Linked DNA regions of Arabidopsis thaliana. The protein of the gene in region 2 purifies or fractionates together with the protein of the main gene of each other region. This does not show direct contact. Each region holds a gene or a part of one and is shown on either strand. Other genes may lie near its edges.

Region 1 (7,690 bases), on a different chromosome or scaffold from region 2:
AGAAATGTGATTTAAGTATGCCCATCAACACTAACCTCAATGACTCCGCGTCTTTTATCAGTAGTTCGGTTGGGCACGTCATGCTCTTTCCCTGAGATAGCTTTGCTAAAACAAGGTCTAGACGAATGTTGGTACCTTCCTGGGCTCAGAGGCTGCATTCTTGAATTTCTTCTAGCTAAAAGACGTAAAAGATATAATGGTACCCATAGAAGGATCCGGGCAGGTAGTAAAGCCCACCAGACAATGAAGGTTATCCAGTCTGTCCAATGGCTTTCGTAATTGGCAGGAAGACTAGCCCAAGAGCGGAGTGAGCTTTGAGACAAGGGTGATGGAGGCGTGGACATGCCATCACTATCATCATCACCAGAGGAATAGTCCAAGCTAGAAGTATCAGAATCCACAGAGAGTTCGTGAATGAAGTGGTTGAAAGAAGAGACTCCACTGCAAAACCACAGAAATCAAAAGAGAGTCGAATAAGCTGCTATAAGGTAACCACAAAGAAGTATTAGAGAGTTGAAGAGAGTTTTACTTATGCATCCAGCGTGGTAAACGAGGTCCACGCAATGTAGGCCTAAGCTCCCATCCATGAAGACCTTCAAGAACATTGGACTTTCCGGGCAAAAGTGTCAAGAGAAGCGCAGAAAATCCATTAATGCATCTTGCAATGTTGTTCAAAGACTCATAAGTCAGAGTTTTCACTGACCTGCACTAAAAACCAAAATCATTAGTTAGCTTAAAACTATTTTAGACTAACACAAACAATCCTAATACCAATCAAAAACCCACAACGAACACCAAAAACCCAAACAGACAAGCATTAAACAAAGAAAACTATCCGCAGATACAACGAGAATCGCTGTAATTATTACAGGACAAAGAGTCAATATGTATACTTTCTTCAAAGAGACAACAAACCTTCAACAACTAACTAAAAATGGTAAATCAGAAATGTATCCCCAAATTAGTAAAACTATATACCACTAAATCTCAAGATTAATGTAAATCAGAAGATATAAGATATAGACTTAGCTCCTAGCTCCACTATAAAACCACTGGCTCAAAATTTGGCAACTTCCATATCTAAAGCAAATCGAATTACTATTTGAGAAAATCTAATCGAATTAAAATCCAAATTAAGGAAACAAAACAGTTGAAATCACATATCAAATTACTAAAACCACTAAACATGCAACTAAAAAAACAAATCAGAAATCACAAAATCAATAAGCGTGCACAGACTAATGGTGAAATCGAAAAGAGAGAGGGACTCACTCTTTTGTGATAGCAAGAGCATTATCGACGATCCTCTGCATGATTTTGTTTCCCAATATAGAAATACAACAAAATAAAATAAAAAATCTGAAAAATGAAAGAAGATAGAATCCAAAAACCAAAAGCCCAGAAAAACTGAGAAGAGTCCCACAAAATCAAAAGCCGTAATCGGGAATCGAAGAGAAAAGAAACGTTTTTTTTTAAATTGTGAGTGTGTCTTTGGATTGAAATCCGATATATTAGGGGACGCCGGCGATTCTTACCGTCCACAAGAGAAGGTCGGTAAACGTTATTTAGAGAGACGAGACAGAGGTTGACACGTGGGCGTATATAATTGGATGATTTAGAATGTGTCATCTATTGGATTTTGCATGCGGATATGGAGACATGACACGTAAGTCTGTAGTGGCGGAGAAGTTACGTCCATTTTGTCTTTATTATTATTCAGACCATTTTATGATTAATAAAAGTATTATTACTTACCAATATCAATTACATTATTTATATTATTAATAATCTTGTGGTTCAAAACATTTTGCTATTCTATAAAATATGTTCGAAGACCGGAATTTTGGAACTTCGAAGTCATTAGCTTTTTGAGAGGCACGATAAAGCTGATTTTTTCTTCTTTTTTAAAAAAGAAAAAGAAAACTTATGAAGCTGCTTTTTGTAGTTTCGGATTTGTTATTTTCTTGTTAATTTTGTGGATTATCTTGGTTCGTAGTAACAAAACGTGGACGGTCTTGATTGTGCGAAAATCTAATAAAGCAACGAAACTTCTTCCACATGTTTTTATGTTTTTAAAATAGCACTATAATGCTTGTTAATGACACTCATTCTAAAAGGTTCAGGCGGAATACTAATAATCTTCAAGGAACAACGATGCACAATGAAAATAACACATTAGTTTCCAAGTTTCGTCTTGTCAGACTCCACATAATCTGAAACTGCCTGCTTTAAGGGCATTTTCTCTGAATGTAGGAAGCTCCATGTTCCTCATACCTGCCATTTACACCAAGACCCCAAATCCGAGTGTCAGGAGAGAAAACAAACTATAGTTTCTTTGCGAGTCTGATTAATGGAAAATCAGAACAGAGACTTACTCAGACTTGGAGAACCACATCTGTTGAAATGAGCCTAGTGATGCCAATATACTCCCTCCTATCCATACACTGCACATACATAACATGTTTGTTGGTTGATCCAAGCAAAAAAATTTGGGTCTCATTATAGAGGAAGAAGTGAACACTAAATCCAGACCTGAATCTTCTTTCTGTTGTGTTACCGCTTGCCAACACTTTAACTCTAGCTGAGTGAGGAGACTCCTGAAACAAAGATAGAGGGACCAATGAATGATTTTCGCCATCATAAAAACTGGGATAGCTTTAAAGACAGAGGAAAAGAGTTTAGGACACAATACTTCGATCAAGTCCTTTTCGAGACGTTCTTTCAGCTGTTGCATTGACGATGTGCCACCAGCAAGCTGGCATAATGCGAGAAGAAAGGAAATGTTAATCATCCACATCCAACGAAACTAAAAGTAGGGGTATTTAAGAGTTGGCATTGATTGCTATTTTACCAGTATGCTACTATACAACTCTCTCCGGATGTCTACATCACATTTGTTGATGCTCTCCATGACCTGTACAAGTCAGTAAAATGGAGAGTAAAGTTAGAAAAAGTTAAGAGATGGAAGCTTTGCAATGACTAAATACCATGCATATACCATGTGTGGTAACCCACGAACGGAAGGAATCATCTCAGCATACTTCTCCATTCCAGGAATCGTCTGCAAATTGCAATAAAAACGGAGAAGAAACCTTTGATAAATAATTCGAGGCTCAAAACGCTCAAGATAAGAAACAAAATGTCTTCAGAATCTTCTGTTGAATTTATCGTGCTCAAATGGTGTACCTGGACTATGGACGGGTTGAACATCACATCAGGAACTTTGAACCTATCAGCACCAATCTCGAGCGTCCTTCAACAGACATGGTTAATAAGATATTGAGAAAGACTACAAAAATTACAGGTGCAGCTTCCTGTCTTCAATGAAGCTAGCACTTTTTCTTTTAACTTAATTCTCATTATGAACATTAGGTTCCATGCAGGTTTCCAAAGCAATGTCTGACTCTTCTAAACTTTTATGCCCAATGGCTTTAATGACTCAGATCCAACTAAGCACTTATCTCAGCTTAAACAAGGTTCAGAGCAGTGGTACATTTGGCTAGAAACTAAGCTCAAACCTTATACGTAGAAAACAAAAGCAACAGTAGCATGTACATTTGAGGCACAAATAAACCGAAATAGACATATAAACTGAGCTTACTGGCCATCAGGAAGCTCGTACGACGTAGTAGGGATGTTTGAATATGATTTATCTGCAGATAAATGCATCACATCAGAAAAACTAAGGCTATGCGATCAAATGACATTGAAAGATAAAAAGTATCTAACGTTCAACTCTCAAGCAACTTTAAACTTTGAAATAAAACAAATTTATGAAACCAGAGACAGACAGAATAACATAAGGTACCGTCATAGGGAGTATCAGGAACTCGACAAATGGAATCCTTGATATCACCCACTATCATCCTCTGTTGAAACAAATCACCAAATTATCACAACTGAAATTTTCAAACGAAGTTTCATAATCAATTACAGACCTGGCAGAAGAGTTTGTAGCTTTCCGTGGTGTCAGGAATATCCACATCTTCAACCTGCAAGGATTCAAAGGGAGGAAATTAGAGACTATTCACTGCTAGTAGTTTCATTCACTGATCCACATATGCACCTGGAATTCCCCTGCTCGTACTTCCTTCCTCTTGAAAGAGTATCTAGGTCTTATCTGCAGAAAAAATAACCAGTATCACTCAGATAATTTGGCTTAAAAGAAAAGAACAGTGAAGAATTTTTTTAACCTACTTTAATTCCTTTACTCTCCAAGCTTTTCAGTAGGCAGTCAGTGAGAAATTCCCCTCCAAGTGGAGACGATACAACAGCCTGCGAATAAAAGTATGGTCAACAATCGGAGAATCACAATCTACATCAATGCTGTAGGTCATAATTCACATGGATGAGAATTTATAGCAGCTACAGATGACTATGGAAACGAGAGATGGGAAACTTTCTCCTGCAGTACAAAATCCAAACCCAAAGAAACAGCATCACAAAGCTGAATTCTTACTAAATCGTGTAATACAAGTACCTTCTGAAGAACATAACCATCATGCACCGGTGAAATGGTTGTGGATCCTCCACCGCTAGAAATACAATAAAGTGTCATCAGTGCTTCTCAAATTATACACCATACAGAACAAGGTAGACTTTCACAGCATATAGAGCAGAAGTGGAACATTAGTAGCTTCTACATACTAGAGAAACTTTTAATACTTAAAGTCTTACCAGTCAACAACCAAAGAAGTAGCACGCCCAGTAGCAAAAGACGTGAGAACCTAGCACCAAAAACACCAAATTCATGTAGATAGTTAGACATCTGATTACACAAGAGCTGACTGGATATCAACATTACAGTGAACGTCATATAATAATCTATCAAAAAGAATGATGACCCAAGGGAGAGGGAATATACAGGGTTCTTAGCCATAAACAGTGCCGGAACTTTGTACTTTTCAAACATTAGCTCTGCCGCCCTGTCAAGCATATGATTTGAGAAAATCAGTAACACACCAAGATAAAGCAACAGTGGTAATAAAGGATATTTCAAAGCAGATAAATCATACTTCTCTCTCTGCTGTTGAGTGTTTAAAGGAGGCTCAGCTAGCAGCATTGGATGCTCCGTAGGATCAATCATCAGACAACTCCTTAAAAGACAAAGTTTTTTTAGAGATGAAATGCAAACAACAATTAAGAGAAAATATAATGCTTTACACATTTACTTGAAAGCATGTTCCCATATATTGTCCACCAAATCCCAGTCAGAAACGATGCCATCTTTTATAGGTGACAAAACCTGGTGAGAGAAAATGCAATCTGTAATTTCACCAACAAAGTTATAAACTTTAACATTAATCAAGGAGAAAAACTAACCTCCATATGATCTCTGCGGTAGCTCATGGCTTGAGATCCTACATAGAGCTTGCGTTTGCTCTTTTCCTTTTCAGACTCGGTCTTCGAATCCTCAGAGTTCGAATTAGTCTTTGTAGAATCAACATCCACATCCATTGCCTCTACACCATCTACTGCCCCAATAACCTTATGAACACATCAAAAAAAAAACTAAGAGTCTGAAGATACAAGGGACTTGAGCAAATCTACAATAACACCATTAAGCTTATAGTGACATAAAATGCTGGTAATTAAGACTTACGGAAGGGAAAACGGCCTTGGGAGCATCTTCACCGGCGTAACCAGCCTTGCAAGTGTGCGAACCCAAGTCAACCACAATAGCTGACACTTCATCTGTGAAAACCCACCACGGAAAAAAACAGCTCAGGAATGTCTCAAAAGATAAACGACAAAGCAATTCAAGGGTTTAAAGAGAAACCCACCTCCGCCGTACATGGCTGCAGCGAACGACAAGGGTGGAGCGGTTCTCTATCTGAGCTTTGTCGCCGGAGGGTTTAAACACGGGACGGGGTTCTCTGTAATCTCGGATCCAGCTGAATCGGGTCGACTTGGTTTTACTGAGTTCGAGTTGTGGGGACCACAAAACCTCTCATTTAATCCGTCGGGTTTAAATTATTCAAGAAACTAACCGAACCGAACACAATTTTTCTAAACCGAACCAACTTTTGTGACCACCCTTTTTGCAGTAAACGAAGCTGATTTATTGCCAAATAAAATGTCTATGCTTAATGAAAGTGTATAATTTAAATTACAGCCGAACAAATACTGAAATCCATATTTTCGAGTTACATAATAGAAATTATGATAAACAAATAATCTGGTTATCTTTTGATGTACAATTTGCTCAAAAAGGATTCAAGTATGGAACCAAAAAAAAATTATTAATGAATCAGCAAGAACACTTTGTAGTTTGTTATATGAATATATGTAATGTAACAATGTCACTTCTAACTGAGTTGCTCCATAGATTTTCGAGTGTTGACAAATGTTGCACTTTTGTTGAACCCCTCAAGCAAAAGAATCCTTATTGCCTCTAACCCGGTTTGGAATGTGTGATCCAACTGCAAAACCAAAAACAATCAGGTTATGTCTTTCTGAAATTTTTTGAGATAATTATGGGATAAATCTGCTTCTACCTCTTCCTGTTCCTGTCTATTGAACTGGCGGAGAACAAAATTGGCTGTATCCATCTTCCCTGGAGGACGTCCGATCCCTGAAATGAAACATTCGACAATTTGCAAAACCAGAGAAGAAAATGGGAAGATATGTCGGAGTGGAGAAAAATGAGAACTGTACCTATTCTTAGTCGAGGAAAATCACGGCTACCTTTGAGGCGGTCTATAATACTTCTCATCCTGCAAGTAAAAGAACAACCCATCATGTTTTCTTGTAGAGTTTCTCTATGATTTGATAGTGAAACCGCAAACTATTATCCATCCACATTGCTTCTTAAGTAAAAAGTAAGACAATACTTAAAAGTTAAAACACAAATGAAAACATCAACAGGCCAGATAGAGAGTGAAAAGCATTGTACCCATTGTGGCCTCCGTGACCACCTTTTGGCAATAAACGTAGTTTACCAAAGGGCAAATCTAAATCATCGTAAACCTGAAAAAGACAAAAAAAATTAAGACGGCATATGCACTCTAGAGCCAGAATTTGGAGAGTAAGCGAGAGAGAAGGTTAAGTATACCACAAGTACTTGCTTTAACGGGATCTTGTAAAATGAAACGATTTGTCCAACCTTCAAAGAATTCCAGCAATCATAAACAGAAAGAATCAAAATAACAAGTGATAAAAGTTAAAGAGATTGGTTAACTAAATAAACCAAAGTTTGTTTCCGATGAGCTCACTTACAGACTCACCACTTAGGTTCATGAAAGTTTGTGGTTTAGCCAGCATAATCGGTATATTTCCAATAACGCCTATGATAAAGGAAAACAATACCCAAAGTTAGAAACAAACCAGAGACAGAAAATGATATTTATTTCAATATTCATTCTCCGGAAACAGTTAGCCATTGTTTCTATCACCCTCATCAAACATTTGAGACGTATGAAATTTGAAAGTTTCAAACTTTGAGATAAGAAAACCATTTCAAAATGAAAATTCACAATGGAGAAGATAAGAGAATGAAAAAGAGAACCTTTCCCAAACAAGGCCTTGAAGTTAACAGTGTTCATGGAGATGCCTTCTGCATCAGCCAAAGCGTCCACCATCTCAAAACCAACCTGCAATTCATGATCACGTTACCGAGCTGAAAAGGAAAATGCAAAGTGAGAAAGCAAGAGAGAGACATACGTTGTGGCGCGTGCCCTGGTACTTCTTG
Region 2 (7,904 bases):
TATTAATAATTCTCTTTCACCTTAGTGGACTTGTCTTTGAGTTGTGCACAAATGAGAAGACTAAACACACAGATGGTTTGAAGAAGCCAGGGCCATCATCCATATAGTAGAACTGTGTCTTTTTGGATCTGGTTCTAGTGTTTGTACATTTCAGGAAACAAAAGGTTGGTGAATTGAGAGTGTGAACAATGTTCTATTTAATTTGGTTACTCCAACCTAACTCTTAACTCACTCTTAGACTCTTAGTGGTTGGTGTATTGACCGAATTATTATTTTTAAGCAGTCTTGAAGACATACAAAACATTGCATAATCGTAAAAAACAAAAGTCACGAAATGAAATAACCTACTAAATACTTGTGGAATTACCAAAATATTTTTGCCATAAATTATTATGTTTTTTTCTCGAACATATATACTGTATATGATTACTACGTATCAAAAGCAAATCCTGATTGAATTTGGAATTTGATTTGGTTTAGATTGCCTCGTCATAACTGGCTTTAGAAAAGTAAAAAGAGTGCAGTTTGTGACGACTTTTAGATATGGCTTTGATTCACAAACGTCAAGCTCTCAATTCTAGGGGGGTGGATTGGTCGGAGCTTCCTGAGGATGTGATCAGATTGGTTCTGCGACGGCTGAGACTCTCGGATTTTCATCGAGCTAGGGCGGTTTGTTCCACTTGGTGTAGGGTTTGGGGAGACTGTGTCTCCAAACCTAATCAGGTTCCGTGGCTAATTCTTTTCCCTGATCCAGCACAAATCAGACGCAGTTGCATGTTGTACAATCCACAGGAAGAAGAAAACGTTTACACAATTCAAGACCTTGGTGTGGATCCTTGCCTTGCAAGTTGCGGCACCTGGCTCCTCGGTTAAATCTATATCTTGTGAATGTGCTAAATTTGGAGAGGATTAACCTAGTAGCTATCGAGTCTCAACGTGACCAGCTCTTTTCAGCGTACTCTACAGAAAAGGTCATTTTGCAAGCAAAGCCGAGATGATGGGATACCCTAGTACTGATAAGGCAGTTGTGTGGATAGACGAGAAAACTAAAGACTACGTAGTTGCTTGCAGCTGGGGTGGAGACAAGCATGCAGCCTTTTGCAAGAAAGGCGATTGTGAATGGCGCCAGATTCCTCCTTTGTTGGGGTGTAGTGATATTGCCCTCAAGGACCACAAACTTTACATTTACTATGAGGATGGTAGCATCGGAATCTCGGATTTGAAGTTTGTAACAAAAACTGCTCATGTTCAGCTCTATCCCTTTCGCTTCCGCTTGGGATCTTTTAGCCCTTATGATACAATTTGGACAGACTATCTTGACTGGAAGACCAACATAGTAATCACCATCTCTGGAGATTTTTTGATGGTTGGCTGCGTTCTTAAACGTCGTGACCTTTCCTGGCTTTTTCGTGGCGACCAGGCCGTGATCTTGGATCTAGGTATCACCGTGCAAGCATCCTCCGATATCCAAGGTATTACCAGAAACTCCACCTATTTCAGCGGTCTTCCATCTAGCCAAAAGGATGTCTTCGTCTTCAATCTCTCCTCCCAGAAGGTTCAACGCCTTTCGTCTTCTTCTATCTCCTCCAGACCATTCTCTAATGCTCGCTGGCTCTTCCCCACTTCTTACTTCACAATGATACTCTTTCCAAACATTTTCGTTTTTGTTCAACTTTAAGTGTTTTTTTTTTTTAATAATGCCAATGTTATTTTCCTTTTGCTAATAAAAACATGACTTAACCATTAACGCAAAGGCTACAAAACAAAGCTAATTATATAAAGTAGTAATGTTTCAACATACACAAGATTACAGATACACTAGTTCACTTTTAAACCAGACTAATCTCAACAATATCTTCTACTAAAAATGCTCAAACAGATGAAGAGACTTGTATCGTCAAGAAACTCACCAACTCCCTGGCCCATCGTTCCCAGCTGCTGGCCTCCGGTTCAAGTAACGTATAACTGCATCTTCGACCCTGCAAACATTTTACCCCAAATTATGATTCAGAAACATTTTACAACTCTTTGACCAAAAAAAAAAAAAAACATTTTACAACTCTTAATACATATCATCTGTGCGAATAAAGGCCAGAGTAGCAGAGTCTAGATGATTAGCTTACCAAGGTTGGTTGAAGAAGTCTGATCGACGTTCTCTCTCAGCATTTCGACTGGCTTCTCCCGCAACGACCTTTAGATCCTTGCTCTGAGATTCGATCAGGGCGTTTATGAATTCAACTGGCGATTGGCTGAACCCCAAGAAAAATGCCCGCCTCCTCCTATGCTCATGGATTTTCCTTATGGCTGCACATATTGCTTCATCACAAGCCTCAATCTCTTTGTTCTTCTCTGCGTTGGCTAGCAAATTGTTCAGATCTCTTTGGATCGGGAAGGGTACATCCACTAGCACATCGTAACATGCTGATACGGCCGGATTATTTCCTGAGAGCTTGATTTTGTGTTCTAAGTGAATAGGTGGTGGAGGCGACAAGTGATGAGATATTTTCTGAGAGACCATAGTGAATTTCAACTTTTCTTCTCCAAAAACTTTCTGAAGTGCAGCATCACAGTTGAAGAAAGAGGGGTCATTTGGGTTCTGCAGTTTCCTCGCCTTAACGTAATGCCAAATTGCAGCGATGATTCTTGGGCGGGTTTCAACCTCAATCCCGAGAACATCCATCAATGCAGTAGAAAGCTTGAACTTTTCAGGGACGTAGTTCATCTCCAACCGTATACTAGCAGCAAACTCCTGATTCCCTTTCCTCTTTATCTCAAAGCCTTCCTGAGGAGCAGGTGATCGAGCATTCTCCCATATGATCAATGGGTTCTCAGGATACAGCCTCTGATCCAGGGAAACTGTAACCCTTTTGAAGAAAGACGAGAATTTGGGATGCAATGGGTTTGCTTTCTGAACAAACCCTGGCTGGTCGGGATCCACCCCATCTTCCAGTATCCTACCAATAATTTTAAGAGTCCATGTTGGCGGGTCAGCATTAGGATTCCCAGGGATCGTGTTGTTTTGGTTAGCAAACGAGTTGAAAACGTAGATCCTAAGAGTCTTCTGTATGCAGGGAGGGTTTTTAAGGGCTTCCTGGATGTCAACTTTCTTTCTAGTTAACGCAGCATCAACCCGAGACTCAAACTCCAGAAGTTGTGTGTATAAGGCAGACTCTGGCAAGATTGCAGCCACCCGCTCCTGCAATGACTTTTCTGGAAGCTTTTGTTTCTTTTTCCGAGCAGCAGGAGTTAACTCCATTGTTCTCATTGGGGAGATAGTGTTGTTACTCGCAGGAGCACCAGGAGGTCGCATCGGCGGTTTCTGCTGGAATCTCTTCATGTTTAAACTTCCAGGAGTCGTCAAAGAAGGAGAAGAAGGACCCAAGCCACCAATCCCCGGAGAACCTTGTGCTTGGTTCATCGTCATGCCTTGAGCTTGTAACTGAGCTTGCAGTTGTGCTTGAACTTTAGACTGTGCTTGAGCATGGGCTAGGGCCTGAGCTTGAGAGAACTGAAACTGAGCTTGAAAGTTAGCTGCCATATGAGACTGAGCAAAACCTTGGTTTCCAGGAACAGATGCAGAGGCCATCCCAGGATTCCCAAAAGGCAAAGGCGCAGAGCCTTGAGGCTTTTGTGGATTGTTGTTGTTACCAGACATTGCTATATAAACCTATCAGCCTGAAAAATTCAGAAACAAAAAATAACACTCTTGAAAAATAAACTTCAATTACACCTAACGTATCGTAAGCTTATCAGAAATCTAAGACATATATGCAGAAATTCAGATGAATGCAATAGATCGGTTACCTAGAGAAATCGAAACCTCAAAACCCTAATTTTCTAAGATTGCTGCAGAGTTCAACTAAATAGGAGTAATACCCAGGCTTAAAAACAACGTCGAAGAGAAAATGACTGAAAATGCGAATGAAGAACTCGATTGGAGAATTTTTGAAATATACTACTAAGTGGCCATAGAAAGATCTGGAATTTACAAAATCCTAAGAGATACAAAAAACAGAAAACCCAGAGCCTATACACCATAAAGATCGAGAATTCCTTAAAAAAACGAAGATTCGCAGCTTGGTACCTGCTTTTTTGATTCACCTTCTTTCCGGGATTCACCGGTGTTCCGTTGCTTCTCAGTTGTCGAGACTCGAGAGAGAAAACAAAAACAAATGCCCACCGGAGCTATCTATTTTACTGTCCGGGTTAAGACCCGACCCGTATTTTTAAAGCCCACATTGAGTTATATCAAACTGGCCCAACTTTAATCCATGTGTTTTTTTTTCAACGACAAATCCACATACAATTTGACGACAAAATTAAAAAGAAAAGCATTCCACATAATTTTGTTTTACTATAGTTTTTCGTTTCCTTTTTTTTTTTTTGTCAAATACGAATCTGTAGTTTTAGTGTTCTTTCTTAAATATACCTAAAACTAGGGTAAATTAGATAATGGTTGCCCCATTGTTTATAGATTAAAGAAAAAAAAAATCTAAATTAAATATTGGGATTATTTTAATTAGAAGCTAGTAGACTGGTATACTTTTTCATAAAAATTTTAATTTTATTTTTGCCCATTTTGTTTAGAGGGAAACAATTGAAGAATATGGGCACATGCAATTACATAAACTAATGACAAGGTAATAATATTATCAAGCTTGTCGTTTGAAAAAGGTAGCAACTTGGTTATAAACAACGTCTTTGGCAGTAACACCCATGATGAAATCAGCATGAGCATAGTCTTTCACAAACTGCACATTCATCTTATCGATGTCGTGATACTTAAACTGGTCAAGGAGAAACTCAACGTCTTTCACATCAGCCAGGCTATCTAAACCACCGTAGCTGAAAAAAAGCGGAAGCTCGTGTGGGATCGCCGATATGTTGTATGCCGGTGGTATCGCTTGACCGTAATGTTTTATGTTGCGATCACTGCTTCCATAGTTGTATTTTCTCAACTCCTTGTCTCTTACCGCTACAAATAAATAATTTGAACAATTTAAGGTTTATAAAATAATTTTTAAAAAATGGGAATTTGTTTCACTTACTTTGAGCAAGGTGGATCATGTTCTTGGTGGAAGTAGATTGAGGTTCGTTGGCAAGGAACAGATCAATGGTTGATGCGTTAAGGCAGCAATTCTTTCCTATGTTTTTGTAAAATTACGTTAATTAATATATGTAATTAATTCATCAATGGTAGATTGGTGGACTTTTTTAGTTGTAGCGTTACCAGTGATAACAGAGACTAAATCATAACAGTCGATCCCCGCTTTAAGGCATATAGCCTTTATAAAATCCCCTACTAATCCACTGCAAATGTTGTTTTAACTATTTTACGTAATCAAATCAAGCCAATAATAACAAGCATATTTTAAGAAAAAAGGGTGAAGATTTACCTTTTCGGGTTAAACTCTGGCCATCCAAGAATAGAGGTGGCCTATTTTTGAAAGACGATAAACAAGTTATTTTCATAACTGTAGGCACATATTTGTATAAGAATAAAAAAGGGTATTACAAGGGAGAAGCTAGGGACCTCGGCGAGGAAGGTTTTTGCGGCGATATCGCCGATGACGGTGGTCATGTGGCTGAGATAAGCAACGGGACTCAACATCGCCGCCGATCTCACTTGATCCACCAACCCTTTTTCTGAGAACGAAGCAAATCCTATTAACGTCCCCTGACAATTTCCATTTCATTTTTCATTCTATTATGAGAAGATATATTACTATAAGAAAAAGAAAAAAATCAGAGAAAAAATATGTTGATAACGTTGGACCCACCAAAGAGTGTCCGAGGTAGTGAATCTTTTGGCCTGTTAGGCCATGGATATGGTCAAACATAGCAGGCAGATCGTAACTCACAAGCTCGTCCCACGTCCAGTTCCAGAAAGCCTAAGTCCACAACGTGCCAACGATGTTAAATATCAGTTTCCTTAGTAAAGATATATACGTAATCTACTGGTTAAAACAGTGGTTCACTGAACCAGACCCGTTGAGAAGGGTTAAGGTACTTGTGTCTTCTGCTGAATCTAGTCCCTCTTGTGTTCCCCATCCACACATCGAATCCTTGATCCGCCAAAATCAACGGCAGATTTTGATCCGCTGGATTCAACAGCCATGACATCCCATCCTGCACATTTAACTCATGATTATTTGACTATCATAGTAATGTAAACTATAAGAAATTAAAGGACCATGTTGTCAAAGAGACAAATTACAATTCTGCATACGTACGACTGTCGTCTCTGTCCACATAAAACTTAAAACATAAGGCAAGTCATAAAGTATTTTCTTTCTAGCAGGCTGATGAAAATAGTAGTACTGATCTCATCAAGTTTTGTACTTATGCACTTTATCGATGATTTTTAAGAATTCGATGAGTACCAGAGTCGAGAGTCGACACGGTTATTTATATAATATCACTTACGTACGGTACAATCATTCTTCCATACCAGAAAAGTTGTTTATCACTTGAGTTTATTTTAATTACCTTTCTAGTAACGCTCCAATTATCACTTTATTTGTTGGACACACATGTTTAACACTCATGCTGTCTCTTTATTTAATGTTTTAATTTTACCACCACTAAGATAACACATATGCACATTCTTTATCAAAAAAAGATACAGACATTAATCTAATTAATCTTACTTGTAAGTTTCAAACTCGCACGCACATACGATATAAGGATAAATGTACATATATATATATATATATATATATATATATATATATATATATGTATGTACATACTTGTTGATGAGGCATCCACTGGAAGTATACACGTTTGGTTTTGGCCCACGTGTATATGTCTATTTATAGATGTAAATCATCTTGAAATAATATATGCACATATTCTCCATTTGTATAACTTCTGAAAACGGGTATAAAATGTTCTCCTAATAATGTTTTTCTCACTATCCCTTGACGTCACTTTCCACTTTTTCTTACTTTCAAAAATTTATGTAATGGAAAACAGCTTCAATGTAGTAATCAGATATTCCGAGTGCGATGCAGTGGTTTAATTACAGCTATATATGTTTTTAATAATAGACTTTGTAGTTTGGATGTATTTCATGCATGTTGGAACAAAGTTTGATATTATCACAATAATTATCTGCACATAAAAGTAGCATGCGTGTGTATACACAAGTTAATTGACGGTTAAGGCGATGCAAAAAGGTAAGGAAGAGTAAAACTTACGACAAGAATTCCATGTTGTATTAGGACAGGTTGTCTCTTTCCCCCATCTCCGGCGACGGCTCCGGCTCGTCCTTCCGGTATCCTTTGCATATTCAATATGTACCCATCTTGAGTCACCACCTTCATAATTTAACAATTAAAATAGCAGCTTTATCAGTTAATATATCGATGAGTAATCATCATCAATAGCTATATAGAAAAAAAAAGAATGTCGTACGTACATCATGTTCTTCGCACTTGTAACCAAATATGTGAACAGAAGAAGCGCATATGCCGCCGGCAGCAGTCCTCTGCGGTGGCTGTCCGGCAAGCCTGCCGAAGGTTCCACGAGCTTCAAGGGTCTTGAGGGAAAGAGCGAAGAAGATTAAGACAGATAAGGCTAAACCGATTGAAACGGACGGAACCATAACCGAACCGGCCATTGAGATATATATAGGGGTTATCACGTACGTTTATAGGAAAGTGAAAATGGTTTTATATAGAGAGAAGGGGTGACGGATAAGATAATAGAAAATGGAATTATTAGCTATTTATAAAAATGCAAAACCACGTTAGCAACTATGGATAGACAAAAACTTATTTAGAAAAAAAAACAATTTATGGTGTGTAAACATAAATTAAGAATTGAATCATGCACAAAAAATAAGACAAGCATTTATGAATAGTTTCTAGAAGTGGTGAATCATCCACTGCTATCGTCGA

The links.
Region 1: the proteins of CHC1 (region 2) and ARP4 purify together in Arabidopsis thaliana (affinity purification with mass spectrometry; 2 studies listed by BioGRID, with this or other methods). This does not show direct contact.

The regions. Positions count from the first base shown.
Region 1 is NC_003070.9:6,346,305-6,353,994, reverse strand, and holds ARP4 (actin-related protein 4), read right to left. Parts: upstream 5,948-7,690; 5' UTR 5,797-5,947; coding exon 5,784-5,796; intron 5,695-5,783; coding exon 5,603-5,694; intron 5,488-5,602; coding exon 5,323-5,487; intron 5,246-5,322; coding exon 5,172-5,245; intron 5,097-5,171; coding exon 5,016-5,096; intron 4,926-5,015; coding exon 4,865-4,925; intron 4,728-4,864; coding exon 4,678-4,727; intron 4,536-4,677; coding exon 4,481-4,535; intron 4,276-4,480; coding exon 4,198-4,275; intron 4,121-4,197; coding exon 4,067-4,120; intron 3,993-4,066; coding exon 3,939-3,992; intron 3,870-3,938; coding exon 3,809-3,869; intron 3,654-3,808; coding exon 3,602-3,653; intron 3,254-3,601; coding exon 3,187-3,253; intron 3,062-3,186; coding exon 2,999-3,061; intron 2,915-2,998; coding exon 2,852-2,914; intron 2,756-2,851; coding exon 2,693-2,755; intron 2,598-2,692; coding exon 2,533-2,597; intron 2,445-2,532; coding exon 2,376-2,444; intron 2,275-2,375; and 3 more. Other genes in the region: AT1G18460 (alpha/beta-Hydrolases superfamily protein), read right to left, coding at 36-441, 530-703, 1,273-1,313; AT1G18440 (Peptidyl-tRNA hydrolase family protein), read right to left, coding at 6,309-6,422, 6,498-6,574, 6,658-6,716, 6,896-6,969, 7,055-7,105, 7,219-7,286, 7,508-7,592, 7,663-7,690. UniProt on the Arabidopsis thaliana protein: Involved in several developmental processes including organization of plant organs, flowering time, anther development, flower senescence and fertility, probably by regulating the chromatin structure.
Region 2 is NC_003076.8:4,566,790-4,574,693, forward strand, and holds CHC1 (SWIB/MDM2 domain superfamily protein), read right to left. Parts: upstream 4,206-7,904; 5' UTR 4,085-4,205; intron 3,676-4,084; 5' UTR 3,656-3,675; coding exon 2,124-3,655; intron 1,980-2,123; coding exon 1,907-1,979; 3' UTR 1,691-1,906; downstream 1-1,690. Other genes in the region: AT5G14160 (F-box family protein), read left to right, coding at 544-868, 945-1,678; MPL1 (Myzus persicae-induced lipase 1), read right to left, coding at 4,653-4,975, 5,049-5,144, 5,231-5,310, 5,397-5,437, 5,534-5,677, 5,781-5,891, 5,989-6,129, 7,203-7,322 and 1 more. UniProt on the Arabidopsis thaliana protein: Involved in transcriptional activation and repression of select genes by chromatin remodeling (alteration of DNA-nucleosome topology).